Linked DNA regions of Sus scrofa. The protein of the gene in region 1 interacts with the protein of each later gene in a pairwise test. Links are inferred from orthologs where the notes say so. Each region holds a gene or a part of one and is shown in the gene's direction. Other genes may lie near its edges. The genes, in order: FUNDC1, TUFM, EHHADH and YES1.

Region 1 (7,599 bases):
AGTTTGGTTCAGTAACAATACCTTATAAACTGTTGAGTTCAGCAGAACACAGAGATAAATGCCAGTGGGCTAGAATCAAGTATGTAACATAATCCATTTCAGTTTATCAAGTCTTAATGCATTTTTAGCAGACACTGAATCAATCATTTGCAATAAAACCGTAAATACACTTGGGTAAACAATATTTTTCACTTAAGCACTTTCCTGTTATTACAGTCTTTTTAAACGTAACATTCAGTCATTTCCATAACTAATCATCTGCTGTTGGACGCTTTCCACTTTCCCTATTGTTTCTATTCCTTTTCATTACGAAAAACCAAACCAAACCAAACAACAACTCTGTAGCAACATCGGTAGAATAAGAACTCTTTATATTGTCTTTGGCACTGATTGTTAGTGAAGTGGCCTCTTTAAGATTGTGGATTCACATTATCAAAACTTGTACCTGTTTGCACTCCCGCCAGCTCGTACACAAAGCATCACCTTTGCCACATTTTTCTCAACAGCAACTGATACTCTCAGTACTTGGAAAGGTCACTGAGACCATTTTAAGTGTGTAAACGTGGGGTGAGTGGGCTCCATTGTGTTGGGATTAGTTTTAGCCAGGGGGAGGGTTATCTTGTCCAGGGAGTGTGAATTGTTCGTTTGTTATTTTGTCTGCCTTTTGTTTTTCTCAATTCTGACGAAATTGTTTTTAACAAATGAGGTTTTCAACGACAATGAGGAAAGATGGCGACGAGGAAGGACTAGTTTCATTACAGTTTCATTATGGATGAAATAGAAAATGTTCTCTGTTTCAAGTAAATTACTCATAAACTTTTGGAACCCTACCCATTGAAAAGCTGGAGACTACCTGAATTATGTTTTGGTACAGCCGTAGATAAGATATCGGTGTTCACAATGAAAATGTTTATTAGGACTAACTGAAAAAAAAAAAACCGCATCACTATTCACTATTCAAAATGGGAATTAAAAAATCACCCTCTTGAACCCACCAGGAGGATCCATAGCTCCGTTTAAACTCTGTGTACACAATTCACACATTCAGCTGTTCATCACCGAGCCAACAAAATGACAGCTTTTTCAATACTGGGAAAGAAAAAACCTCACACTAGAAAAATATATTAAACAACCAACTTCCTTGAGGTAATGGCAAGGGCGTACTGCAAGAAAAAGGGGAGAGCATTAAAAAGTTCATTCTAGCCCTCAAGTCCTTTAGAGAAATGACTGCCTTTTAATTCATTTTTGGACAGGTTTCAGATACGTTTTGGATACAGAGATCTCTTCTTGGGCATCATAAGAGCAGTGTTTTGTTCCCATTTTCTCCCTCATTTCTCCATAATCATTTAATTTGAAACACTATTGCTTTGATAGGAAAGCTGCTTCTTCCTGTAGTTGGTAGCTACAGCTAGAAGCATGTGACAGTGTCATTTGGGCGTCATTGGCCCAGTCAACCCTCTTCCAATTTGTAATTTTTTTCCTTTCTTCTCCTTTCTGTTCTTTCAGTGGCCCATCACTTGCGATTTCTCTTATTTGTTAGCACCTCATGAGGCATAGATGGGCAATGAGGAGGAAGGCGTGTATGAACTCAAATCTGTTAACTCTTGGAAGAAAATATTTCAGTGGGGACTTCTGAAGTTACGTCCCTTAAAGTGATTTTGTTTCCAAAAAGAGTCACCTTCCACAAAGTGATCACAAACATCTCCAGGCAGTCTTAGAATTGCATTTTGAGTGGCACAATCAGAGGAGCTTGAGAGAATCAACCTTTGCATTTAAAGCACCAGGATTTGAAAAGCCAAGTGCAATTATGTAAGTCAATATTTTAAGGAAAGCAACTTCTACCAGAATTTCTTGTTTTTTCCTTCATATTCATATTCTCGGAATAGGAATACTGATAGGGCTGTGTTAATTGTACAACGAATGGCGGTGCAAAGCAAATTCAAAACAAGTTTGGGGTTGAGTTAGTGACTGGGTGATTAACACAGCTTTTCATTCAACTGAAACCCGTAGGGCTTCTGGGAGAAGAACTTGACCTCGTTCCCTCTGTCAGATTCAAATAATAAAAATGATGCTCAAAAATTATGTCCTCTTGAATAACGCGTGTCAGGTCAGTTCCTAGGCCTTCCTCTTCCTCCCTTGGGTTCCTGGCAGGAAACGTGTGGAGAAGGAGAGGATGAAAAGGTTCCAATTCCCAGCAGCAGCGCGTTAGAAAAATTTTCCATCTGTTAGCCCTTGACTCCTCAGAAAAGTGTGGCTTGAAACGGGGTTTCTCTTACCTCTTTTCAAAAGCCTCTTTCTGGTACAGCGCTACAAACGGCAAGCTGCTTTTCGACGTAACCGCCCTGTGACACCCCCTCCCCTCCAGACCTGAGGCCCTTTAAAACAAAATAACAAGATTCTTGTTCTGGAAATTCTAGAGGGGGAGGGGTGGGAAACCAGGTTTGTAGATGGCAACGGACTACAACTCCCACAAGCCCTCGCGGGCTGCTAGCCGCGCCCCCTCCCCTCCCCCCTCCCCGCACCCCCTGAGCCTGACGCTTGCGCAGAAGGCCCTGCGCTTGGAGGAGGAGGCGGGGACAGGACAACGCGCCAGGAGGAAGAGGAGGAGGAGGAGGAGGAGGAGGAGAAGGAGGAGGCGCAGGCGGAGGAGGGAAAAAAAGAGACCATAGACTTCCACCTGGGTCTAGAGCGGCTCTTAAAGTAGTAGGGAGAGGAGGGAGGGCTGGGACCACCTTCAGTACAGGCCGCCGGCGGTATCATGGCGACCCGGAACCCCCCTCCCCAAGGTGAGCGGCCGGGCCCCGAAGTAGTATTTTAGACGCGGCTCACAGCTCTCGACCTTGCTTTGGGGGCGCCTCTTCCTTTCCCTGACCTAGGGTTCCTGGGAGCTCTGTGGTTTTTTTTTTTTTGGAGGTAGCCTCTTTGAGTACCCCCTCCCCGCAGGCGAAGAGGGGCTCCCTCCCCTCCCCCAACACAGCCCCACCTCCCGCCTTACCTACACCTACGGCCCTTTCTAGCTGTCTTCTAATGTTTTTAAAAATTTTGGCTCTGAAGTGATTAATGCTCCACTGACAGACCCGACTCTGTCAGTGGAGGATCCCCCTTTTTTTCTCCCACTGAGAAGAATGGACCCTGCGCTGACCCTGAACCTGAGACTTGAGGGTAACCCTTCCTGCTGTGGAACTCTGACCGGACCCTATTGAGACTGGGGTGGGGGTGGACCCGGCTGTGAAACTCCGACCTGACCCTACTGAGATTTGGGGGCGGGTGACCCCTCTGCTGTGTAACTGACGTTGCCCTGACTCCCCGGGCTGGTTCCTGAGCCTTTAAAAGCGAGATGCTTTCGAGGCCCTAGTCTCAGGGATTGGGTTTAACAAAGTTTGTTACCATCTGGGCGTTTTTAGCTGTTTGCCAAAAGTAGCAATGAGTTGTAACAGATGAAAAATGTATAGGGCATTTTTAACTTTCGGTTGACTGTAAATGTGTTGCTTTCGTTTTCCGTTTTGAAGACTATGAAAGTGATGATGACTCTTACGAAGTGTTGGATTTAACTGAGTATGCCAGAAGACACCACTGGTGGAATCGAGTGTTTGGCCACAGTTCCGGACCTATGGTAGAAAAATACTCAGTGGCCACCCAGATTGTAATGGGTGGAGTGAGTGGCTGGTGAGAACATCTTTTTTCCTTGAATTTCATTGGGAGCCTGACTACTGTCCTTTTGTATCTGGGCCAATTCCGTGCTCAGTCAGTGGCTTTACACTGTTAATCCCTAAAGAGCTGTACCTTGAGGCTTTTCTCTGCCCTAAGATGAGTGTAATCTACTCTCACAGACTCTTGGGTTTTGATGATCCTCCTCCTCCATGCCCTCCCCTGTGCCCCCTCCTCACCCTTCCTTTGGTTCTTTGTAGATTTCCCCCCTTCTCAGCTTTAGCAGATGTTATTGGATCCGATTCAGTGACAGTGGCTAAAGAGAGAAAAACATAAAGGAGAAGAATTCATTATATGTAAATAATTTCTTCCTTGTGCTCACATCTGGAAAACGCTCTGAACTCCCACAGTAAAACTGATCCTCAGGAGTATCAGCCCCGTAGAGAGCAGTGTAAAATTCTCAGTAAAAATGACTGATTCTGTCCATTTTTAGGGGCTAGTTTGGATTGTGCTAATACGCTGAGGAAGAGCTGTAGAGCATTGGGTCTACATTGTTGGGAATAAAGGACTGATTGCTTACACAGTAGTAATGTTATGGAGGACGTTAAGGGGGAGAGGTTAATAAGCATTAACCTAACATTAATTAGGTTAACATTTCAGACCACATGATTGTATCATTGCCACTATGGATCCAATTCTGTTAGTCTTAGACTAAAAGATTAGCCAAATAACACAGGTCAGAAACAAGTTTGACCCTTTGTTTTGAAAATGTTTATGACCTTGAGAGAATCTTTGAAATTAGTGTGGGTGCATAACTTGTGAATAGTCACTTTTTTTCTTACATTCTAAGTTAAATTCATCTTACATGAATTTAAATATGTACAAACTTGATAAGTATAAAAGGAAATGTTTTGATTTGTGTTGTACACTCACCTTGGAATAATGGGGCACTCTTTTATGCTTTTTTTAATAAATGTCATTTTATGGTAGAAACACTCATTGTGAAGATTCTGTAATGAAGAGACGCTGTATTTATTCATAATGTGTACTTATTAATGCTGCTTATGAACAAAGCCTACAGTTCGAGAGAGGCCTAGTCAGAGCCCTGGTTCTTCAGATGATCCTTCACAGGCTGGTTGTACCTCGATGCCCACAATTCAGGACCTGGCCTTCTGCTTAAATAAGGCCACAGTTTGGTGCCATAGGCTGATTGGTTAATGTGAGTCACGGTCTGAAGCCCCATCTTAAAAGAGACTGAAAAAAAATAATTGAACACTAGAATTATATCATTGTGTATTTTCTCTTTGTAGGCCAAACTGGGTGAGAAGCCCTGTAATTGACAGAAGTTTGCTGGGAAAGCCTAGAGACAGAACAGGGAAATTAAATTAGTAGGTTTCCTGTAGTGGCTTGTATGCCATAGCAGGCAAAGGATAGACATGCTTGTGGAGCATACTCTCTGGGATATAGTTAAGACCTGGCTGTTGCTTCTCTCCTCTGCTCCCTTTTCGGAGTCTTTGCTGCTGTCTCCTGTACTGAGGGCCACATGTGTTTGGACTAGAGCCAGATGTCCATCCAGGAGCTGTGTAATAGACCTATAATGTTAAACAGGTGATTTGTTGTGCTGACTCTAGATTCAGTGTAATCTGTTTTTGCAGTTTTCTTAGGGTATGGAACTGTTGAACTGTTGTGGCATAAGTTAAGGAAGAATGGCTAACAGACTAATCCGTTAACAATTCAGACCAATTCAGGACATGAATGGGAAGCTAAGGAGATTATATTTAGCTGTCGGTAGCTATAGGTTCTTGAGCATGATGAGAAATTAAAACTGACAGCGGCATGGGTGGCTGCCGGGTGAGCTGGGAGGTGTGAAGATTAGTTAGAGGGCCCTTAGTGTGATCTGGAGGCAAGGCAGTGACACCCTTCAGGATGGAAAGAAGACAGAATCAAATACTGTTTTGGAGATCCCCGAGTGTAGAGAGCTGGCAGTCAGTTGGACCCCAAAGGCGATGAAGAAGGTGATCTGAGATGAGCGAGAGGAGGTGAGCCTAGAGAACGGTACTGTCGCTTACACACCGGCACCTTAGCAGCAGTTTTCTTGGTTGGAAAGATGGTGTTTGCTTTGGGACACTTTGAACATGTGGATCTGGGTGCAAGAGAAGCTCATCAGGTAATTGGAAATGTGAGATTTCCATTTATGAAGGTGTATTAGTTTCCCAGGGCTGTTGTGACAAAGCATCATGACTGGGTGGCTTAAAATGAAACTTATTCTTTCACGGGTCTGGAGGCCAGAAGTTTGAAAGGTGTCACCAGGGTTGGTTCCTTCATGGAGGCTCAGGGAGACTTTGTTCCATGCTTTTCTCCAGGCTTCTCTTGGTTGCCAGCAATCCTTGGCATTCCTTAAGTTGTAGACACATCCCTCCAATTCTGCCTCTGTCATCACATGGCCGCCTTCCCTCTGTGTGTCTCTATGACATATGGGATTTGGGGCCCATCCTACTCCAGTTTGGCCTCATCTGAACTAATTAATCTGCAATGACCTTAGTCCAAAGGTTCGGGGAAGGTCAAGGACTTGGGGAAAATCCAGTACAGAAGGCTCGAGTTAGAAATTTGAGATTCTTTTGCACACCGTGGATCTGGAACACTGAAGGGAATAATGAGCTCACAAGAAGTATGGGTTGACATCCTTACGGGATAAATGAGACAAAACAGGTTTAATATAGGCATAGAAATGGACAGGGAACCCATGAGAAATGAGGTATAGTCCTGAAGGTGGAACTCCAGCTGGACCTTAAAGGGTAGAAAAGTTTAAGACAGGTAGAGCTAGGTCAAAACCTCTAGAAACAGGGAGATGAATAGCTTGAGCAACAGTGGTGTGACCTGTATGGAAACTAATTGGGTTGGAGCAGAAGGTTTGGGTAGAGAGAGGTGAGGGTCGGCCAGGTGTGCAGAATGCCTTGACCGTGTTAAAAAAAAAAAAAAAAAAAAAACCAGAACAAATCAATTTTATGATGGGGAATTCGAACTTAACACGTAAGTGTAGAAGAAGAGTACAGTGAACCCGTGGGTACTCAACATGGAGTTTCAGTAGCTAGTTCTTTTCCTATAAATTCCCCTGTCCTGCTCTCCATCCCTTGTTTTGAAACACATCTCGGGTAGTTGAGATTGTGCCCTTTTGACTAGTCTAACTGAAGGTAAACACGGAGCATTCTGAGTAGCTAAGGGACATGATCAAGAGAAATGGGAAGACATTACGATTTTGATTAGAAAAGCAATGAAAGTAGAAGGGAGAGGTTTAGTATATCATTGGTTGGTCTCATCCTTTGTCATTTCTGTCATTAAAGGTGTGCAGGATTTTTGTTCCAGAAAGTTGGAAAACTTGCAGCAACTGCAGTAGGTGGTGGCTTTCTTCTTCTTCAGGTATGTCAGAGCTTTAGGTCAGGTTTTTTTAAAGCACAGTTTGATTCTAGCTATTAAAAAGACAACTATAAAAATTTGAGGTGCAGCATTTTTTTGGTTACTGCTTTACCCAGATTTCCCTTGAAGCATCTTCCTAGCAAAATAAACATTTCATCAATGATGTACTTACTCATCATTACCATTTAAAATAAATTTCAGGAGTTCCCATTGTGGCGCTGTGGAAATGAATCTGACTAGTAACCATGAGGTTGCGGGTTCGATCCCTGGCCTTGCTCAGTGGGTTAAGGATCTGGCTGTGGCTGTGGCTGTGGCGTGGGCCGGCAGCTGTAGCTCCGATTTTGATCCCTAGCCTGGGAACCTCCATGTGCTGCGTGCGTGACCCTAAAAAGCAACAAATAAAAATAAATAAAATAAATTTAAAGTTCACACGCAATACATACAAAGTTCAAAAACTCTCTTTCCTTCCCTACTTAGTCATAGAGTTTTCCTTCCCAGAGGAAATTGCTGTTAGCAATTTCTGACATTTTTTTTTAA
Region 2 (7,625 bases), on another chromosome or scaffold:
AGGGTCCTGTTTTGGATACATTAGGTTCACAGCATCTCAGAGGTAGCACTTTCCTGTTTGGAAGGCTCATTAATAGTTCAAGTATATACATGCAGAGTGGCCTCCTGTGGCCAGGCACAGTGTGTCCGGAGATAAAAGAAGCCCGGTCCTTGCCCTACTCAAGTCACTTAGTCTCAGACAAGTGAAACCAAGAAGTATATCAGGGTACCGAGTGCTGTAAGACAGATTTATCTGTTAGGATGTATTTGGCCGTAAGCAACAGACAAGTCTGACACAGTCTGGCTTAAACAATGAAGACATTTGTCAGAGTTCCCGTCCTGCTTCGGAGGTTAATGACCTGACTAGTATCGCGAGGACTCGGGTTCGATCCCTGGCCTCGCTCAGTGGGTTAAGGATCCCGAGTTGCCAGGAGCTGTGGTGTAGATTGCAGACACGGCTCGGATCTGGTGTTGCTGCAGCTGTGGTGTAGGCCGGCAGCGGTAGCTCTTATTAGCCTGGGAAACTCCATATGCCGCGGGAGCGGCCCTAAAAAACAAACAAAAAACCCCACACACCGCAATTGTCATTTCACACTGCAAGGAAACCAGGCTTCTGAGATCCTTTTCGATTCGCCCTCTTGTGGATTTTGGCTTCATTCTGGACTGAGAGCATGATGGGCACGGTAGGTCCAGGCTTCCCATCCAGACCCAGCAAGTGCAGAGTTAGAAGGAGGGCCATCTTGTCAGCGTCTCCTGCTCCACAGTGAGGAATCCGTTCCTGGAAGCCCTCTCAAGGCAGATCTCCTCTTACCAATCACAAGCCCCAAAGGAACCACACACTTAACCCTAAACAAACCCCCTGGCAAGGAGAATGGGAGCACCAGCAGTGGACTCTCCCTGTCAGGACTGATTGTGGAACTGGGAAAAGGGCCACTTGAATAAAACTGAGGCCCCAACTACAGGAAGATGGAAAAATGGCTGCTAAGCAGGAGCTCAGTCATGGAGCAGAACGAACATGGATGGCTGGGGAGACCCAGAAGGTCATTTGGTTTCAAAAGCATCTTTTTTTTTTTTTTACTTTTTAGGGGAGCACTCACAGCATATGGAGGTTCCCAGGCTAGGGGTCAAATTGGACCTGTGCTGCAGGCCTACACCAGAGCCACAGCAACGCAGGATCTGAGCTGTATCTGTGACCTACACCACAGCTCCCGGCAATGTTGGATCTCAAACCCACTGAGCAAGGCCAGGGATAAAACCTCATCCTCATGGATGCTAGTCAGATTCGTTAACCACTGAGCTACGACAGCAACTCCCAGAGCATCTTTTTTTTGGGGGGGGGGTGGAAGTTCCTGGACCAGAGATCAAACCCGAACCACGGCAGTGACCTGAGCCACAGCAATGACAATGCTAGATCCTAAACTGCTATGCCACCAGGGAATACCTCAAGAGCATCTTTTAAAATTTTTTATTGCTTCTTAGGGCCACAACTGCAGCATATGAAAGTTCCCAGGCTAGGGGTTGAATCAGAGCTGCAACTGCTGGCCTACACCACAGCCATGGCAACACTGGATCCTTAACCCACTGAGTGAAGGCCAGAGCTCAAACTTGCATCCTCATGGATACTAGTCGGGTTCTTTTGGGAACTCCTAATTGATTCATTTTTTTAAGCTATTTGCCATACCAGTCTTTCCTTCAAACTAATACACATTAAAATAAACATGGCGCTGGAATTCCCGTCATGGCTCAGTGGAAACGTATCTGACTAGCATCCATGAGGATGCAGGTTCGATCACTGGCCTTGCTCAGTGGGTTCAGGATCCAGCGTTGTCGTGAGCTGTGGTGTAGGTTGAAGATGTGGTTCAGATCCTGCGTTGTAGACCGGCAGCTGCAGCTCCAGTTCAATCCCTAGCCTGGGAACCTCCATGTGCCGTGAGTGCGGCCCTAAAAACACAATATTAAAATTAAAAACAACAACAACATAGCACTAGAATAGAAAGCATTAGTTCAAGTACCATTCCTAAAAATCTCACATCCTGGTAGTGGCCAACAGTGTCTTAGGATAAATTCCCAGGAGCATAGTGACTGAGGTACGGGCTGGGAACCCTTTTAATACTGTACCAGCCCTTCTTAAGGAGAGCTGATGGGTTTGGAAGGACAGGAGGACAAACATCTTGGCATGTTTCTCATTGTAAAAATGACAGTTAAATTACAGAATAGTACATTGGCTAAGTGCACACTTTCTTGGAGTTTAGTTCGGCTGGGTTCCTCAATCATCCTGATGCCAGTTTTCTCACTGGTAAAACAGAGGAAATAATATTCCCACAGAATAACATTTGGCACTTTGAATGTGAACCAATATGAAGCATTTTCACAGTGCCTGATCCATAAAAAAGCTCTAGATCTGAATTTTCCAACCTCCCCTAAGCCTAAGAAGGGTGTATATATGTATTATGAATAAATATAGCTTTCTTGTCTGTGCCCAGACACTACTGAATCATAATCTCCAAGGAGGAATTAAGGAATCTATTTGAAACAGACACCGTAAATTGAGTCTTGGGATCTGATGAGTTTCAGAAACATTAATCAAGGTTAAGCAGCTGCTATTATCCTTGCAAGGTGATGAGATGATGGATGTGAAAGTTAAAGGTCATTTGCTATCCTTGCACTCATTCATTCAGTCAACAGACATTTATTGAGCACTCACTGAGTGCCCCGCCCAGTGGTAGGTGCCAGGGACACAGCCGGAACAAGACAGGCTCAGGCTGCCCTCAAAGGCACCAGAGGCTGGTCCCTTACCTGGTCATCTATAAAACTGGGTGGCTGGGGGGGACGACGATCAAGGGAATTACTCCCTGGGCTGCTGAGAGGCAACAGGGGTGGACGGCAAACTGTCTCCGCAGGCTGCGAGCCAGGAGCGAGGGTCAAAGACCGTGGGACCTGGAGCCTTCTGGACCCCGTTCCCGCCTCCTACCTAGCTCCCTTCCTTTCAGACCCAGACGCCAGGATCTGTCCATGAAGCAGATACTACTACTTCCATTTTATAGATGAGAAAACAAAGAGTCAGCGGAGAGAAGGATCACACTAGAGCCCCAACCCCGAAAGACTCCCAGGATCGTCTTCCCCCTCAGAGTTGCAGGGCCTGGTCCTACCTCCAGCTGCGAGATCTGGCCACCAGATGAGTCGCCAGACACGCGCAGTGGGTGGGACTCCACGGGGTTCGGGGCCAGGACGTTCCTGGGTCAGCCACATCCGGGCCGCCGCCTCTGCCTCAAAGAGGGTCGAGACCGTCCTTACGTACCCAGCCTCGGTCTCCCTAACTCTCACGCTAAGTGCCCGCACAGCCTGTCGCCCTGGGAACTACAACTCCCATGAGCCTCCGGGGCGCAGGTGTGCTTTGCGGCGCTCATCGCCCCCCGGCGCCACCAGAGAGAACTGCGTGGCCCCTGAACCCGCGAAGGCCAGGGGCGTCTGGGAAACTTTCTTCATCCTTCCCCACCCCAGAGGCACCAGCGTCTTCCTGGACGTCTTCGGTCCCGAGCCCGGAAGTTGACAGGGAGGGTCATAGAGACTCGGGGCTAGAAGTGCCCAAACTTGCCCTCTCGGCCCTCACTTCCGCCGGAAGCCGCTTCCAGCCTCAATTGCCCTTTGCTTGGTGCACGCGCCGGGGTCCGTGCGCCGTACCCACTGTTCCCGGCGCTCGTAAGACCACAATGGCGGCCGCCACCCTGCTGCGCGCGACGCCCCTCTTCAGCGGTGAGGGGGCGGGGAGGGCGATGGCGGCCCGGGAGTACACGGGGATCGTCGGGAGCGGCCAGGCTCAGACCCGCGCCCTGACGCCAAGCTTCTGCCCCGGCAGGTCTCGGCGCTGGCCCAACATCACTGTTGCAGGGTCTGTTGCGGCCGCTGAAGGCCCCGGCACTGCCCCTCTTGTGCCGCGGCCTGGCCGTGGAGGCCAAGAAGACCTATGTGCGCGACAAGCCCCATGTGAACGTGGGTACCATCGGCCATGTGGACCACGGCAAGACCACACTGACCGCAGCCATCACGAAAAGTAAGCGGATTTGGGGCGGGGGGGTCGGGCATTCGGCAGCGCCCGCTCTGCAGGCGGGACGTGGCGCCGGGGAGGTGGGGCCCGCCGGAACGCTGCTGGAGGTGTTTAGCATGGGCCCCAGGAGCCTCACCTTGGGTGGGCGGTAGATTGCAAGACTGGGGAGACAAGACTTCCCGTCGAAATGAAGAACTTTGTGATGCATAAATGGGGGGACCCCGAATAGCCTCCCTCCAGCCCGGAGGAGTGCCCCGTAAAGCAGAAGCGTTACCTTAGAGACGTCCCAGGGCTGACCCTTGACGCCCTAAAAGGTGAAGTTATTTCCGTTCCAGGAGTCGAAGACGAAGGTCTTGGAAGCTTGCTTTCTCCCAGGCTGTCTCCCGTTTGGGTGGGAGGGGCCCAGAGGTGTGGTCTGAGCCCTGCCTCTCCCTCCAGATCAGATCCTTAGCTGAGAGGTGTGCTCTCCTCCCGTTAGTTTTAGCCGAGGGAGGCGGGGCCAAGTTTAAGAAGTACGAGGAGATCGACAACGCCCCAGAGGAGCGAGCCCGAGGGATCACCATCAATGCGGCCCACGTGGAGTACAGCACTGCCAACCGCCACTATGCCCACACAGACTGCCCCGGTCACGCAGATTACGTTAAGGTGAGAGAGCTGCTGGGGGCAGGCCCTGGAACTGCTCCCCCGCGCACCCCCCCCCCCATCGGGAACAATGTTAGGCTTGTGGGGAGGAGGTTAAGAGAGCCAAGATGTGTGGGTTTGAGATCATGGATTTGGGGGCCTGGCCAGTGGAGGTGGCAGGGGGAGGTGGGACCCCAAGTCACTGAACTACAGTTTTCTCTCCTTTCCTCACCCAGAATATGATCACAGGTACTGCCCCGCTGGACGGCTGCATCCTGGTGGTAGCAGCCAACGACGGCCCCATGCCCCAGACCCGAGAACACTTACTACTGGCCAAGCAGGTACCCAGAGCCAGGGTATGGGTGGAAGGAGGAAAGAGGGCAGAGCCTTCACTCACAACACCGTTGCTCCCTCTCCCGCCTGCAGATTGGAGTGGAGCACGTGGTGGTGTATGTGAATAAGGCGGACGCCGTTCAGGACTCTGAGATGGTGGAGCTGGTCGAGCTGGAGATCAGGGAACTGCTCACAGAGTTTGGCTACAAAGGGGAGGAGACTCCGATCATCGTGGGCTCTGCCCTCTGTGCCCTTGAGGTGAAGGCGGGGTCAGGCCGGGCATCCCGAGCTCTGCTCTGAGTCTGGGGAGTGGCTCTCGGCAAGTTAAGGGGAGCAGAATGGAAGTTTCAGGGTCCTGTCTACCTCCCGCCCGTAGCAACGTGACCCTGAGTTAGGCCTGAAGTCTGTGCAGAAGCTGCTGGATGCTGTGGACACTTATATCCCAGTGCCCACCCGGGACCTGGAGAAGCCTTTCCTGCTGCCTGTGGAGTCTGTGTACTCTATCCCTGGTGAGGACTCTGCTCGCTCACATTCCTTCTTCTCGCAGAAGCTTGCCCAGGGTCCCTGATGTCCTGTCCTGTCCTGTCCCCTCCCAGGCCGAGGCACGGTGGTGACAGGCACGCTCGAGCGTGGTATTTTGAAGAAGGGAGATGAGTGCGAGTTCCTGGGACATAGCAAGAATATTCGCACTGTGGTGACAGGTACAGGAGGCCCTGGGCCCCTGGGGCTCCAGGCTGCCCTCTCCCCTTGTGGGCCACTTGCTCCTTCCTTCTGCCCCACACCCTCCCTCGTCTCTCCTCCCTCCTAGGCATTGAGATGTTCCACAAGAGCCTGGAGAGGGCGGAGGCCGGCGACAACCTGGGGGCCCTGGTCCGAGGCTTGAAGCGGGAGGACCTGAGGCGTGGCCTGGTCATGGCCAAGCCGGGTTCCATCCAGACCCACCAGAAGGTGGAAGCGCAGGTGAGGGCTCCGGGCGGGGTGGGGATGGGCCGGGCACTGTGGGCAGATGTGGTGCTTCCAGCCAAGCCCAGCTGCTCCCTCATTCTCTCACAGGTTTACATCCTCAGCAAGGAGGAGGGTGGCCGCCACAAGCCCTTTGTGTCTCATTTCATGCCTGTCATGTTCTCCCTGACTTGGGACATGGCCTGTCGGATCATCTTGCCACAGGGGAAGGTAGGGCACATGTGAATGTGGGTGACTTTTCCCTGGTGAAGAAAGGCTGGATGACCATGCAGGTGGCACTGGTGATAGAAAGGTCTGGATCAGTGGATTGAGGGGGAACGCGTCCTGATCCATCATTTACCCACCCGCAGAAATTTCCCAGGGAAAGAGTTCCCGTTGTCGGGAGTTCCTCTGTATTGTACCTAAGGGCTCAGTGAAGCCCTGTGAGCAAAGAACCTGTATGACCCCAAATCTAAACATTTTTTTCTTGAGAATGTACCCGAGGACTTCTCATCACCAACGCATTTCTGCCTTTGCATATGCTGTTTGCATGTGCCTGAGAGCTGGGATGAAGGTCTCTCCAGAAAGAATCATCACCCTGCCGCACTTGCCCATAGCCTTTAACCTCCTTGGTAGCAAACAAACGGGGAAGGGAGGCGCCCTGAAGACCATGCCTGGTCCTTGTCTCTGCCCTCCAGGAGCTCGCCATGCCCGGGGAGGACCTGAAGCTCACCCTCATCTTGCGGCAGCCAATGATCTTAGAAAAAGGCCAGCGTTTCACCCTGAGGGACGGCAACCGGACCATTGGCACTGGCCTTGTCACCGACACGCCGGCCATGACCGAGGAGGACAAGAACATCAAATGGAGTTGAGTCGGGACCTCCGCCAGGGCTCTCTTGTGTTCCGGGCTGCACTGGCCCATGTTCTCTCCTACCTCTCTGGCGCCCCGGTCCCAGGGCAGAGGCTGCAGCCCAGCCTCTAGTTACAGCTAGACTGACACTTCCCCTGGCCAGAGGGCCACACGGCTGGCCAGGTGAGGTAGGTCAATAAACTGTTCTGTAAATAGCTGGCCTGTGTGTGTCTTGTGTCCTTTGTACACATTGGAGAGGATAGAGTGGGAAATACAAAATCCGAGATGAAGCCCAGGACAGGTGAGCTTGTGAGATCCCTGAGCCGTCTGAACTGAGTTCAGCTCTCTAGCCTCAAGAGGTCACTGCTGGTACAGGATGGAAAAAGCTCCAGCCTTCTTAACACCCCCAGCACTGCTGGAATAACTTGAAAAAGCTAAAGAAATCGAAAACCCGTCTAGTGAGTTTTGTAGGATTGCCTAGCAAAATGCTATATTCGACAGGCTCCGTGCTGGATATCCTGCCGGGAGGTCCAGGGAAAGTATTTGCTTATAGCCTGGGCCCAGTTCAGGTGCCAAACCCCACCCAGTTTCCTCTTTGAGTAGTTACTAGGCTGTTGCCACCTAGCCGTCCTCGCAGCTAGGTGACACTAGGGACTGTACCTCTAGATGCAGCACACAAAAGGTACTTGATACATTTAAGAGTCTGTATGCTTGAAAGCTTATCAGTACATCACTGATTCCAAACAGGAGTGAGAAACTGTAGAATGTAGATTTCACCTTCAATGTCAGTACTGAGGCTTAAGGTCTGTTGAACACAGGAAGTAAAACACTGAAACTTTTCAAGACATTGAAATGA
Region 3 (6,980 bases), on another chromosome or scaffold:
ACAGAAGAGTCCCAGAGAAGATGCTGACTTTACCCCCTTTCAGTTGGATTGGGCCTTTGGAGGACATTTAGTTCCAGGCTTGATGGCTATTATACATATTAGTATATACCTGCTGGTACATACCTGCTCTGCATATGTCTCTATGCTGTGTGAGCTTGGGCAAGTCCCTTTAATCTCCTGAACCTCAATTGCACTATAAAATATACTGTGACGTTTATATCTTAATAGGTTTTTGTGAGACTAAATGAGATAATGTATCTAAGAGCCCCTAGAGCAGTGCCTACACGCAGATGTTCAATAAATGTTATTTTTTACTTCACACAGAATCTTGAAGTTTATTTTTCTCCTGATAGTCACTCGTCTCAGCGACCGCGGCACTCTTTATTGGGTTAGCCTGTGAAGATGCAAACGTAGTGATAAAATATGGCAAAAGTATCTGAAAAGGTGATTTATTCAGTAGTATTTGTGGCACATTTTATTCTTTCTCCAAGTGAATATAGTATACCCTTTGACAAAATTTACATGGGCATGAGGACCCATGTATTCTTAAGGTAGTCAGAGGAATTTAATGTATGCTGGCAATAGATGGAGAAGAAATAGCTATTGAAATCATGACAGTAAATAAATATGAAGACATTACTCATTATAATAATTACCATTTAGCATGCCTGCTATGTGCCGGTACTGTGTAGCTTATTTATTTATTGACGATGAAAATAGTAATATTTTTAAACACTTTATAGTTTAATCCTCAGTAAATCCTATAATTTCCATCTGCAGATAAGAGACTGAGCCTAAGATAGATTAAATAATGTGTCAAACATTAACCAGCTATTAAATGGCTTACTCAACTGTTTGAAGACTTGAGTTTGGGAGACAAGATGGTGCTTTGAGGCATGGAGTAAGGGATCAGAAGTATGAAAAGTCAGAATTGATATTTCTTTGTGGGAAAGGAGGTAGGAGAGAATGCAGTTAGGTTCAGAGGCAAAAACAATAATTGTCCTAGAAAAGCATTAGGGATTATCAGACTTAACTTAATGGACTTATATGGAACAATGCGCCAGACATTTGGAAAATATATATTCTTCTCAAATTTGCAACATTTACAAAAATTGATCAGGTACTGGATCATGAAAGCTTATCTCAAGAATTTCATTTAGAATGTGTTCTCTGACCATAATGCAGTCAAGCTATAAATCAATAACAAACTAACTAGAGATTCTCAAGTGTTTGGAAAATAAATCCATTTCTTAATAACCTCTGAGTCAAAGCAGAAATCAATGCAGTTTAGAAACTATTTTGAACTGAATGATAATAAAAACAGCTTGAGGAATACAAGCTCAAGCTTAGCAGGAAATTTATAGCCTTAAAGATATACATCAGAAAACAAAAAAAAGCAACCATATTGTGGTAAGCATCTATATCAAGGAACTGTCAGAACAGTAAAATAGATCCAAATGAATTAGAAGGAAGGAAGTAGTAGAAGAGAAATTACTAAAATAGAAAACAAATGTGAATCAAGAGAATAAAAATGTCAGAAGTTCTTTGAAAAGACTAATAAAACTGATAAAGCTTCAGTTAGACTTATCAAGAAAAAACAAGAAGGTACAAACAATACGCATAAAGAATGACAGATATCACTGCAGATGCTCTGGCCATTAAAAAAGATAATAGGAACAAGTAGAAAAACACAGCTTATAAAATTGACTCAAGAAAAAATAGGAAATCGTTAAAGAAATTGAATCAGTTTTCAGAAATCTTACAAAGTAAATTCAAGTCCCAGATGACTTAATTGGTAACCTTTAACTGAAAAGTCAAGGAAAATATTATTCTAATTTTACAGGAACGTTTCAGAGAATAAAAATAAGAGTTTTACTTCCTATATGAGTTTCCTGGGGCTGCCATAACAAATGAGCAGAAACTGAGTGACTTAAAACAACAGAAACATATTCTCTCAGAGTTCCATAGGCTAGAAGTTCAAAATCGAGATATCTGCAAGGCCAGTCTTCCTCCAAAATCTCTAGGGAAGAATCATTCCTTGCCTTTTACAGAGTCCTATGTCTGAACTAGTCACTTAACCTGAAAGCCTTAAATTTCCCTACCTGTAAAATGGAAACTGTTATACTACTTAACAATGTTAAGAAAATTAAATAAGGCAGTATATAAATCTACTTAGCACAGTGCCTGATATATAGTATTTATCTAATAAATGTTAATTGCTACTATTACATGAAAAACTATCTTGGGAGTTCCTGTGGTGGCACAGTGGAAACTAACCCAACTAGTATCCATCAGGATGCCAGTTTGATCCCTGGCTTTGCTCGGGATTTCCTTTTTTTTTTTTTTTTTTTTTGTCTTTTCTTGGGCCGCTTCCTGCGGCATATGGAGGTTCCCAGGCTAGGGGTCTAATTGGAGCTGTAGCCGCCGGCCTGTGCCACAGCCACAGCAACGCAGGATCCGAGCCATGTCTGTGACCTATACCACAGCTCACAGCAACGCCAGATCCTTAACCCACTGAGCAAGGCCAGGGATCGAACCCACAACCTCGTGGTTTCTAGTCGGATTTGTTTCCACACTGCCACGATGGGAACTCCTGCTCAGGATTTCTGATAAAGATTTGAGGATTTTCTCTCATGTCATTCAACATTTTCCAGGCTATTTGTTCCTTTACTGTGTCTGCAGCCAAGGATGAAGTGTTTCATGGGTCCAAAGAGGTTTGAGATTCCTTAAGAGTTATCTGAGGAGTTCCTGTTGTGGCTCAGCAGATTAAGAGCCCAACTAGTATCCATGAGGATATGGGTTCGATCCCTGGCCTTGTTCAGTGGGTTAAGGATCTGATGTTGCCATGAGCTATGGTGTAGGTTGCAGATGCAGCTCGGATCCCATGTTACTGTGGCTGTGTTGTAGGCTGGCAGCTGAGCTCTAATTTGACCCCTAGCCTGGAAATTCCCATATGTCACTGGTACAGCCCTAACAAAAGGGGGAAAAAAAAGAGTTATCTGGTTACTTTTTGTTTTATAGCAAAGCCCAAGTCTTCCTCTACTGTCTTTTTTCCTTGTCTTTGTATTCTTAGGTGCCGATATCCATGGCTTCAGCGCTCATAAAACCTCTGACTTAACACTGGGAGATATAGTAGATAAAATACAGAGATATGAGAAGCCTGTGGTGGCTGCTATCCAAGGCTTGGCTTTAGGAGGAGGACTGGAGCTGGCCCTGGGCTGTCACTATAGGATTGCCCATGCAGAGGTAACAGAGGGGATCTATAGGGGATTTGGTGGTGGGGCTTTTATTTAGGGCAAGCTCTAAATGTAGTCCTAAGCATCAGAGATGTTAATTTTAAAGGGTTGGCTTATTGGTTGACAACTCTTAGGTATTTCTAGCACTGGTATTAGCTATTTTGTACCAATACATTAGTAGTAGTTGTTGAAAGGTTGAAAATATCCATTTTATTTGATAAATAGCTGATACCCTGAGCCCATGACTGTCCTTCCACTTCCCCTAACCCCAGCTCTTGGACCTCCCCATGACCCACCAACTAAAGCGGAACTCCTGTTCAGACAGGACCTGTAGAATCCTGCTCTGTTACTGTGGCTCACATGTCAGATTTCACTGAGCCATGCTCATGCAGTATGAAGTATTAAATATTTTGACTGTCACCCCTGAGTATGCATACTTATTTAAATTTTCATTTCCTATCACAAACATTTCAGTTTTGTGGTCTCATAATTATTAGTACCTAAGACAAACTCCCATTGGAAATAGCACACAACTAGTAAATCCATTTATTTCTGGAAATAGATTTAATTTGGATTATTAGACATGTAGATTGAAGTTTGTGATTCCAGTCTTACAAGAGTATTTTTTTTTTTTTTTTGTCTTTTTATGGCTGCACCTTTGGCACATGGAGGTTCCCAGGCTAGGGATCGAATTGGAGCTGTAGCCATCAGCCTATGCCACAGCCACAGCAATGCCAGATCCGAGCCACGTCTCTAGCCTACACCACAGCTCATGGCAATGCCAGATCGTTAACCCAGTGAGCGAGGCCAAGGATCGAACCACATCCTCACGGATACTAGTCAGATTTGTTTCCACTGAGCCACGATGTGAATTCCAGTAATATTTTTGTAAATAATTCTTTTTTCTTTTTAGAGCCACACTGTAGCACATGGAAGTTCCCGGGTTAGGGGTCAAATGGGAGCTGCAGCTACAGGCCTATACCACAGCCATAGCAACACCAGATCTGAGCCTCAACTGTGACCTATGCTACAGCTTGCAGCAACGCCGGATCCTTACCCTGTTGAACAAGGCCAGGAATCAAACCCACATCCTCATACTATTTGGGTTCTTAACCCACTGAGTCACAATGGGGACTCCTATATTTTTCTAGTAATAAATATAATATTCATCATTGTAATAAATTATAAAAAATATGCATAAAAGTATGAAGATGTAAACTAAAGTCACCATAAACTCACAGTTCAGAAATAACCACTGTTAACATTCTGTTTTATTTCCTTCTGGTCTTTTTCCTGGGTAATATCTTTTTCTTACAGTTTTGTTTTTCTTTGCAACCTTTTAATTAAAAAACCCCCAATATTTGGAATTTTATTCTCCTTCATTTGAACTCTATTTTTATACTAATAGCATGTTTAAAGTGTTATTAAATAGTCTTTATCCATTCTGCCAATATCTGCTATTTACATTTAACATAATTATTTATAGTTGCCATTTTGCAATTTATTTTCTGTACCTTCTTTTTTTGTTATTCCTCAATTCCTCCACTAACACTCTTGTTTGTGTTAAATAGATATATTCTAGTGCCCTTTAACTTCTCTTATTATTTCTTTTACTGTGTATTTTTGAGTTATTTCTTAGTGGTGATTGCCCTGGGGATTATAAATAACATCTTAATTTATGACAATCTAGTTCTGATTAGTACCAACTTTATTTCAATAGTATGCAAAACATTTACTCCCATACGGTTTTGTTACACACTCTCTTTATGCTGTTATTGTCATAAATTATATCATTATGGGAGTTCCCGTCGTGGCGCAGTGGTTGACGAATCCGACTAGGAACCATGAGGTTGCGGGTTCGGTCCCTGCCCTTGCTCAGTGGGTTAAGGATCCGGCGTTGCCCTGAGCTGTGGTGTAGGTTGCAGACGCGGCTCGGATCCTGCGTTGCTGTGGCTCTGGTGTAGGCCAGGGGCTACAGCTCCGATTAGACCCCTAGCCTGGGAACCTCCATATGCCACGGAAGTGGCCCAAAGAAATAGCAAAAAGACAAAAAAAAAAAAAAATTAAATAAATAAATAAATAAATAAATAATATCATTATACATTGCATACCCATCCACACAAAAATATAATTATTACTTAATGTGTTGGTCTTTTAAATTAGATAAGAAAAAAAGAGAAATTACATACAAAAAGTTACATTAATACTGTCTTTTATATTTATATATATAGTTACCCTTTAACAGTATTCTTTATTCCCTCATGTGGATTTGAGTTACTGCTTAGTGTCTTTTCATCCTGAAGAACTTCTTGCAGAGCAGATGTACTAGCAGCAAATTCAGTTTTTATTTATCTGAGAATGTCTTAATTTACCTTCATTTTCAAAGACTAGTTTTTTCTGGATATAAAATTCGTGGTCGACAGTATTTTTCTTCCAGTACTTTGAACATGTCATCCCACTGCCTTCTTGCCTCCATGGTTTCTGATGAGAGATTTGCTGTTACTCTTATTGGAACTATTTCTTAAAAATACCACTTAAAATAGTTGCATAATTTTTTATCTTTATATGTTTACCATAATTTATTTAACCATTTCCCAGTGTTGTTTTAATTTTTATAAAACACAAATAAAAACACATATCCTAAGTGTTCCTTGTTCTGTGTTCCTCATACCATAACCTTCTGCATACTGAATGCAGATCTAAGTTACAAGCAATCATAATAAATCATAAGGGGAAAGAAAGGGGTAGCCAGTGATGGGAAAAATGGTGATTGACTGCTAGGGGAGCATCGTATGAGAGAAGCACAAACGTTCCAGGTATTTTGGAGCTATTGGCATCACAATTTGTGCAGATGGCAGTCTGTATTTAAGTACCCTCCTTCTCCTATCTTTATACCTGGGCAATGACTAACACACCTTTGGCCACTTTTAAGGCTAGGAGAGACATATGATGAAGGACTCAAGCTCATCCTCTTACCTAGACTGAGGTTACTGCCTGAGTTCCTCCCTCCTTTCTTTCTTTCTCTTTCTTTCTTTTCTTTCTTCCTCCCTTCCTCTCTTTCTTTCTTTTTCTTTCTTCCTTTTGTAATAGCTTTATTGAGATACAATTCACATACCATATAATTCCCTTATTTAAGGTATATAATTCAATGGTGTATTAGAATACTTACAGAGTTATACAATCATTATCACAGCTGATTTTAGGATATATCATCACCCCCAAAAGAAACTTCACACCCTTTAGGAGTAACCCACCATTTCCCTCTCCTCAAATCCTAGCAATTACTAATCTACTTCTGTCTCTATGGATTTGCCTATTCTATACATTTCATGTAAATAGAATAGAAAAGGCAATATATTGCCTTTTGTGTCTGGCTCTTTCACTTAGCATAATATTTTCAGGGTTCACTTGTGTTATAGCATGTCATCAGTATTTCATTCCTTTCCATGGCTGAATAATATTTTCTTGTATGGATACACTATTTTCTTTATCCATGCATTACTTGATGGACATTTGGATTGTTTCTCCTTTCTTGGATTTGTTAATAATGATGCTATGAAATTTGTGAACAAAGGTTTTTTTTTTTTGTGGTAGATATTTTCATTTCTCTTGGGTAAATATTCAGGGGTAGGACTGCTGTGTCATATGGTAACTCTATGAAAAATTGAAAAATTGAGAGATTGTTTTCCAAAGTGACTGCACTACATTACATCCCCACCAGCAATGTATGAGGGTTTTGTATTC
Region 4 (7,422 bases), on another chromosome or scaffold:
GGATTCTAGTCGAGTTAACCACCGAGTCAGGACGGGGAACTCCTGTCTCGTTTGTTTTTAATATCCGTGGGAGTCAGTGAACTACTGAGTTTAAGACTGAAGCTTAACATTTGTACCTAGATGAATATTCCAAAAGGGAAAACAGGGTACCTTTTATGAGGTAACAAAAATAATCAAAATGAAGGTTAAGAGAAGAAAATTCAGTGATAAATATAATACTTTATAGATTTTGACACACACCTCCTCTTCCCCTTAAACCTTTGTACCGAATATCTTTAAAGTCACTTCACCCCTTAAACTGAGGTAAACAAGTATTATAGCATTGATTTTTTTTGAGGCTGTGAGTTTAGGACAAGAAAAATATCTCAGGAATCCCCACCATGGGACAGTGGGTTAAGAATCTGACTGCAAAAAAAAAAAAAAGAAGAAGAAGAAGAAGAAGAATCTTGACTGCAGTAGTTTGACTTCCGTCACCACAGAGGTCCAGGTGTGATCCATTTGGGGTGCAGTGGTTAAATGATCTGGCATTGCTGCAGCTGTGGTGTAGGTTGCAGCTGTGGCTGATACAGTCCCTGGCCTGGGAAATTCCATATGCTGGCCATACAATTGAAAAAATATATCTCAGAATTCCCTGTGGCTTCTGTGTTAAGTATCCAATGCTGTTACTGCTGTGGCTTGGGTCACTGTTGTGGCTTGGATTTGATTCCCCCACGGGTGAACTTCCAAATACCACCAGCATGGCCAAAAACAAATCTGTATGCATTTTTTTTTACATGAAAATTTTATTGCCCAAGAAAATTAAGGGCAAATGATGTTTCAGAAGCTAAATCAAATAATAAAGCACCATGTTACATGTACCTTTTAATGTGAATGCCTATGCTTATCTTTGGTACATTTAATGAGCTGAAATTTTTTTTTCAAACCCTTATATGCATTTACTAAGTTCCTAGAATATCAGAATACTGACACGTGATGGTACTACTTCATATTTGTCGAAGATGTTTCTGAATTTCGCTAAAAACCACAAAGGAAACCAACAGCCCCAACATTGTTGTGATAATCCCACCAAAGAGGAAATACGAAGAGGAAGTTAATCTGAGTCTGAGAGGGCAGAAGTGATTTTAGCAGAGGATTCAGCCCTTTCAGACACTGAGTGACCCTCAGTTTTTTTTGTTTTTTTTTTTTTTTTGGCTTTTTGCTATTTCTTTGGGCCGCTCCCGCGGCATATGGAGGTTCCCAGGCTAGGGGTCTGATCAGAGCTGCAGCCACCGGCCTACGCCAGAGCCACAGCAATGCGGGATCCGAGCCGCATCTGCAACCTACACCACAGCTCACGGCAACGCCGGATCGTTAAGCCACTGAGCAAGGGCAGGGACCGAACCCGCAACCTCATGGTTCCTAGTCGGATTCGTTAACCACTGCACCACAACGGGAACTCCCTGACCCTCACTTTTAATCTCAGCTTCTTCGGGACCCTCTCCTTTTCTTCTCCATCGGCGACTCACTACAAGGCCAGTAGGAAAAGGTGCTTGGATGCAGGTGAGCAGGATTCCAGTTGGGGCTGCTCCGCGTTCGTCGGGGTGGCAGTCTCAGTTTCCACAACTGTCGAACAGGACAATACCTGTCCAGTTCCTTCGTTGGGATCTTGCCACGATCGCCTAAGAATACGGTCTCCTAAAACAAGCCAAAGCCACCATTACTGGGAGAGTCGCCAACAGAACTCGGCTTGGGTTCCCTCTCTCCGCAAGGCTGGTTCGACCAATAGTCAACAGGAAGCTCCTGGGGCTGGGACAGGATCCCTGGATCGGAAGGAGGCCAGACGCGAACGTTTTTTGGACGGCAGTCAGGACCGTGATGAGGGTGTTAGTAACGCCCCTCTGGCTCACGCGGCTGGCTGAGATTTTACTACCAACGACAAAGGGTGCGGAAGCATAGCGCTGAGGGGCAAGCACCCAACTCACCATTTCCCCCCTCCCCCGTGCCTACCCCGCAAAGACAAAGCCCCCGGCAACTACAGAGAGCCTGGCGAAGATAAGGGGAAACTACGACGGGGTGGAAGCGAACTCCCGCTCCATCTCCCGCCGCAGCCGAGCGGGCGGCCACAAGGTCCGCGGGTGGGGAGGGGGCGCTGTGGTACTGCGCTCCTCGTGGAGAAGCGCCTCCTCCTCACGCCCCCTTAGCCTGCGCCGCCTCGGGAATCCGCCCCGGACCCCGCCGCCATGTTGGGTCGGGAGAAGTAACTCGGACTCGCCGCTGACCCCGACCGCCGGAGGGCGGCCAACAGCCCAGGAGGGGCGCGTGCGGAGGCCGGAAGGCGGGGTCGCTGGAGCTCCGCGCCGCGCGAGTTCCGGTGACCGGTCGGCAGCGCAGGTAGTCCTCGCCCCCGCCCCCGCGCAGGGGGCGGAGCCTGGAGTGAGGGCGGGCCCCGCACGGGGAGGAGGCGGAGCGTGAGGCCGAGGGGTGGGAGAGCCCGGGAATTCCCTCCTCCTGAAGTAGCGAGTCCTCCGCTGGCTGTGCAATCGTTCCTGCCGCCGGGCGCCTGGGACGAGGAGGTGGAGGAGGGAGAGGGCCCCGCGGGCCTCGCCTCCGCCCGCCGCCCCCTCCCCGCCAGCCCTCCCCGCCGTCGCGGCGACTCATGCGAGCGCAGCTGGAGGGCAGGTAAGGACCTTTCGGGGCCCCGCGGGGGGAGGTGGCCGACCCCGGCCCACAGCAGTAGGCCCCGGCGCCCGGAGGCGCCGCTGCTCCCCGCCCCCGCCCGCTCCGAGTCGGGAAGTTGGGGAGAAACTTCTCCCCTCCCCCGGCCCCGCTAGCCCGGCGGGTGTGTCTCCTTCCCGGCGCTACCTGCTTGCCCCCAGCCTGGGTCTCCGCCCCGTCCAGCCCTTCTCCATCCCGCCCTAGTCCGCCCTAAGGTCCTCGCTGCGCTGGGACATCCGCACAAGCGTCTATAAGGTCGTGCGGGCCGTCGGCCAAGGGGGCAGCGAGGTTTATTTTGGCCGAAGTTAGGGGTGAGGGCTGTGGCCTCTTTCCGACCCAGGGGTCGGGGGTCTGCGCGTTGGCGGACGCCGGGTGGCAACTGTGCCGGGAGAGCGGGCGTGGTTGGGGGGAGCGAGTGGGTGAGCCTCTCGCTGCACTTGGTTTGATTGAAAACCGCAACATGTTAAAGTTTTCCTTTGTTTTGGGTTGGGGGTTGGGAAATATGCCGTTCTGCGGGCACTTTTACATTGTTTTGCAGTTCTGCCTCCCATTTGGTTCGGTTCTCTGTCCGCATGTGTTAAAGAAAATTTTGTTTTTAATATGTTTTTCTTTTTGGTAATTGCTTTCCGCTTTTGCTTCATTGGACATGGGGCAGCGTTGTTTTAAGAAGCTCTTCGAAAATCAAGTCCGATGTAGAGACCGCTTTAATTTTTGCTGTGTGGTGGTTGAATTATTTTCTGCTTAATTAAAACAGGCATGGAATGACAATTCATAAATTATTAAAGAAATGAAAAGTTGAGTCTCCATTCGAATAAAACTTTATGTTCATGCCATTATCATGGGAACATACATAGTTTCCACTGGTATGTGTGTTCACATAGATGATTTCACATATACCTATATGTGATTGTAGTATATTCGTGTATTGCAGCTGCAGGATTGCAGTACCAAAGTTATCTTGATAATTCTAGTGTGTTTAAACCATCCTGTTAAATGTTTATAGTTAAATTACATGAGGAGGAAAATATTACTATATATGTACATGTAAGTGTGCATTTAAAGCAAAGAAAGTATGTGGCAAATCTAATATCTTAGCTAGCACAATGGTTGGCACACAGTGGACAGGAAACAACATTTTGAATGGACAGGTAATGGAGTGTCTTGTATTAGAAGCCAAGGATCTTGTATGTGTCACATGATTTTCATATATTGGTCTATATTGTATGTCAGTAAACCATATTTCTGTTTTGTTAATACTCTAGACCCCTGCCATAGCTGACCCTTTAATAAAAGGAAGTTTAATTGTACTTTAATTTTTGGACATTAGCTAAACCTCAGTGGAGATTTTGAATGCTGGTTGAAAATTCATTGGTTCCTAAACTTGGGGAGAAAAAAAAAGACTGCGATCTGATTCCAAGTACAAGACAGTACAGTTCATATCTATGTTTCCAGGATAAAATATGAAAGCGCTCTTAAAATATGTATTCTGCTGTAACCACCATAATGTTATAATAGCTTTAATTTTGCAGTATGCTTTTGCTGACTTCATAAACCACAAAATTGACTCCTTTCTGTTCAACCAAAAGTGAAATTACAGCTTTGACCTATCTTCTGGGATAGGTGGAATTTGTCTTACAGCTGATGTATAATATTAATGTATGGTTCAAGTTTTTTTTTTTTTTAATCAGTAAATCCTCAAATTGAAAAATAATCGTCTATGCAAATCAATCTCCTTCATGTTATGTAACATTAAAAGAATAAATATCCTAAAGGAATAGTAATGACCCATTGTAATGAAATATTACCAACACATGGTGTAAGACTTGTTTATGTAGAGTTGCAATTTGCATCTTTTTAGGCAGTAAATAGTTTATTAATGTGAGTAATTTTTCTTAATATATTTAGCTCTTAACCTAGTGATTCTGTTTAGCATAGATATCATTAGTTCCTATTAGCATTATATTTAAAAAGAGCCTAATATAAAAAAATTTTGGTACTATTTCTTTTTATAAAAAACTTTTAAAGAGAGCGGTATTAAGGTTTGAGGTCCAGGAATGCAAACTTGGGTGATAAAGCTATGTATTTTTTAAGAATCTGCAAGGAAGTGATTTCTGTAAAAAGTACTGATAAGAGAGGAAGGAGGAAGTTGTGATTGGGACCTGGCTCCTGAAGTGGTGGCAAAGTTCTACCTGATGGTGGTTGCAAGGGTGTTGGCTTTCGTGTGTAATTCATTAAGCCGTATGTTTATTCTGAGTGCCTTTCTGTGTCTGTAGTTTAGTTTATATGAAACTGCCCCCCCCCCCTTCAAGACGCCTATGTGTAATGTACTTTGTAAGGTTCTTCCACTAAAGGACTTAATATTTGGTGACTGACTTAAGAACACTGCCTGAGCTGCCCTTTGCAAACAGGATTAGACCTGTTAAATCACAACTAGCATATGCCAGTAGTTAGTGTATGTAACTACTTTCACATGTGAATAGCATGTTAATTATGTTAATATTTTGAGGGAAGACTCCAGGTTTTACTAACTTTAATTTCAATTTTTGTATGTTGTGACAAATGGTAATCAAAAAATGTTTATTAAACTAGTGGACACTGTTCTGTCATCAAGTATAAAATATCCCCTATTTTTCTGAAGATTGTGTATGGTAACATGACAGTTAAAACCTACAACTTAACTGTGGCATCAGAGTAGTAATTCTTTCATTTGTTTTCAGTTTCCTGACACAGTAATTGTTCAGGTCAATAATTGCAGCCTGTGTTTTGATATTCTTAAGGGTATCTTAAAGTTCTCAGCATAAAATAAGTTTTTGTGTACCTAAAGGAATAGTATGTTTTGTTTCAAGTGACAAAAATGCTGTGAATCATTGCCTTATGCTACTTTACTTGCTTTATGTAATGGCTTGCTGTTTTAGTTGTTGATGTTGCTTTGCATTGTTGTAGAGTTGAAGAAGAGATCATTATGTGCCAAATTCTTACACTGCAGGAACTTTCAGTCATGTTATAAAGGTGATGTTTGTGGCCCTGGCTTTGTTGTGTGAATATTTACAGGAAGTTTTAGTTAAGATCTTCCATTGTTCAGAAACCTACATGGCTTAGGTCACCTTCAGTTCACATTTAAACAGGTCTGTAATACAAATGCAAGTTCTTCTAGCGAGGTGAAACTGCTTTTCTTTAAAGGAAATCATCTGTTTCTGTTAAAGTATCTTGGTATCTCATTGGTAGTGTGTGTGGCAGTTTGTGTGGCCGTGGCGGGGTACGTATTAGCTCTTTTCTTCCTCTCAGCTGCTCCAGCGCCACAATTAGGCTGCCTATTGCTCAGCTGCAGCTGCTGGGTGATTATGATCCATCCAGCTCCTGTCTAAACTCAGAGGCAGATTTAGCAAAAGGAGCTATAGTAACAGCAGAGGGTGAAAGAGAAGAGCCGGTGCCTCTGCCAGTATCATTTTAACAAGTCTGTGTGCCAAGGAATCGTTGGCTGCAGCAGCACTACTGTTGTCTTGGAACTGGCAGACTTGATAGCAACACATCCTGGTCTGGGTTGGGTTTACCTGGTGTTGTTCTTTAAGATCTTAATGCTCATTCTGGGAAAGAGAGGGAATCTTGTAATTTCAGAGTACAGGATAATGTACTTGAGATTACTGATGAGCCAGGCTATGCCTCTGCTCCCCCTTTCCCCCATCAGTGCCCTTCACTTTTCCTTGTTTGAGTATATATGTGATTTCAGGTTCTCTGAACCATATATATTCTGCGATGCTTTAAGCTGTGTCTCCTAGAAGTGCTGCTCTGTTACTGTTATCTGGTGGGTGACAGAGCTGATGTACAGATTCTTTGGACTCCCTACTTTTCTTCCAGGAAGTGGAAGACCTTTAGGAGGGAGTATTCTAGAACTAGCTGCACATGACATATCCCGTGGCTGCTTGAGTTTTGTAAGTAGGAACTCTAGATTACTTTTCCTATTGTTCTTTCTTCATTCCTGGGGTATGAGAAGATGGATATCAACGAACACAGATACAGCATCAGCAGCAAGCCCCAGACTAGAAGGTGCTATAGGCAAATTTTGTTTCTTCTGAAATGTTGTTCAGTTTATAGTCATGGCAAGTGAAGAGCAGCAGCATCTTGTTGTCTTTTTACCACTAGAAAATCTGGACAGTTCTCCTGCTAATTCTGGCTTTGGAATTTAGTGGTTCAGGATTTAGTTAATTTGGGAATAAGAGAGTATTGGGAGAAGTAGCTCTCAGACTTGTGTAACCGGAAGGAAGAAAGAAGCCCAGAAGACTACACTTAAACATTGCAAGTATACAGAGTCATCGTGGCACATGCCTAACAAGACAGTGGTGTATTGACCCCCTTCCTTTTTTTTTTTTCGCTTTTTAGGGCTGCACCCATGGCATATGGAAATTCCCAGGCTAGGGGTTGAATCAGAGCTGTAGCTGCCAGCCTGCGCCACAGTCACTGAAACATGGGATCCGAGCCTCGTCTGTGACCTACATCATAGTTCTTGGCAATGCCAGATCCTTAACCCCCCGAGCGAGGTGGCTGGGGATCCAACCTGCATTCTCAAGAATGCTAGTCAGATTCATTTCCACTGTGCCACAGCAAGAACTCCTGATCCCTTTCTTTGTGGTCCCACAAAACCCTGGTATCTAAGCACATTTCTCTCTCTCTGTATTCCAATTATTTCTTCCCGTGACTGTGATATACTTGACACTGTGTCAAGGAAATGTT

Evidence for each region.
Region 2: the proteins of FUNDC1 (region 1) and TUFM interact in binary tests that used the Homo sapiens proteins (3 or more experiments, as listed by UniProt). The two-hybrid records come from large-scale screens. The link is inferred for Sus scrofa from reciprocal best matches to the Homo sapiens genes FUNDC1 and TUFM.
Region 3: the proteins of FUNDC1 (region 1) and EHHADH interact in binary tests that used the Homo sapiens proteins (3 or more experiments, as listed by UniProt). The two-hybrid records come from large-scale screens. The link is inferred for Sus scrofa from reciprocal best matches to the Homo sapiens genes FUNDC1 and EHHADH.
Region 4: the proteins of FUNDC1 (region 1) and YES1 interact in binary tests that used the Homo sapiens proteins (3 or more experiments, as listed by UniProt). The two-hybrid records come from large-scale screens. The link is inferred for Sus scrofa from reciprocal best matches to the Homo sapiens genes FUNDC1 and YES1.

Annotation. Positions count from the first base shown.
Region 1 is NC_010461.5:39,732,619-39,740,217, reverse strand, and holds the start of FUNDC1 (FUN14 domain-containing protein 1), read left to right. Parts: upstream 1-2,554; 5' UTR 2,555-2,758; coding exon 2,759-2,786; intron 2,787-3,509; coding exon 3,510-3,666; intron 3,667-6,989; coding exon 6,990-7,065; intron 7,066-7,599. UniProt on the Homo sapiens protein: Integral mitochondrial outer-membrane protein that mediates the formation of mitochondria-associated endoplasmic reticulum membranes (MAMs).
Region 2 is NC_010445.4:18,520,482-18,528,106, reverse strand, and holds TUFM (elongation factor Tu, mitochondrial), read left to right. Parts: upstream 1-3,401; 5' UTR 3,402-3,688; coding exon 3,689-3,731; intron 3,732-3,834; coding exon 3,835-4,029; intron 4,030-4,501; coding exon 4,502-4,668; intron 4,669-4,880; coding exon 4,881-4,985; intron 4,986-5,070; coding exon 5,071-5,235; intron 5,236-5,353; coding exon 5,354-5,486; intron 5,487-5,573; coding exon 5,574-5,678; intron 5,679-5,785; coding exon 5,786-5,937; intron 5,938-6,030; coding exon 6,031-6,150; intron 6,151-6,617; coding exon 6,618-6,791; 3' UTR 6,792-6,988; downstream 6,989-7,625. UniProt on the Homo sapiens protein: GTP hydrolase that promotes the GTP-dependent binding of aminoacyl-tRNA to the A-site of ribosomes during protein biosynthesis. Also plays a role in the regulation of autophagy and innate immunity.
Region 3 is NC_010455.5:123,149,722-123,156,701, reverse strand, and holds part of EHHADH (peroxisomal bifunctional enzyme), read left to right. Parts: intron 1-3,073; coding exon 3,074-3,246; intron 3,247-6,980. UniProt on the Homo sapiens protein: Peroxisomal trifunctional enzyme possessing 2-enoyl-CoA hydratase, 3-hydroxyacyl-CoA dehydrogenase, and delta 3, delta 2-enoyl-CoA isomerase activities. Catalyzes two of the four reactions of the long chain fatty acids peroxisomal beta-oxidation pathway.
Region 4 is NC_010448.4:105,503,659-105,511,080, forward strand, and holds the start of YES1 (tyrosine-protein kinase Yes), read left to right. Parts: upstream 1-2,425; 5' UTR 2,426-2,658; intron 2,659-2,984; exon of another isoform or gene 2,985-3,005; intron 3,006-7,422. UniProt on the Homo sapiens protein: Non-receptor protein tyrosine kinase that is involved in the regulation of cell growth and survival, apoptosis, cell-cell adhesion, cytoskeleton remodeling, and differentiation.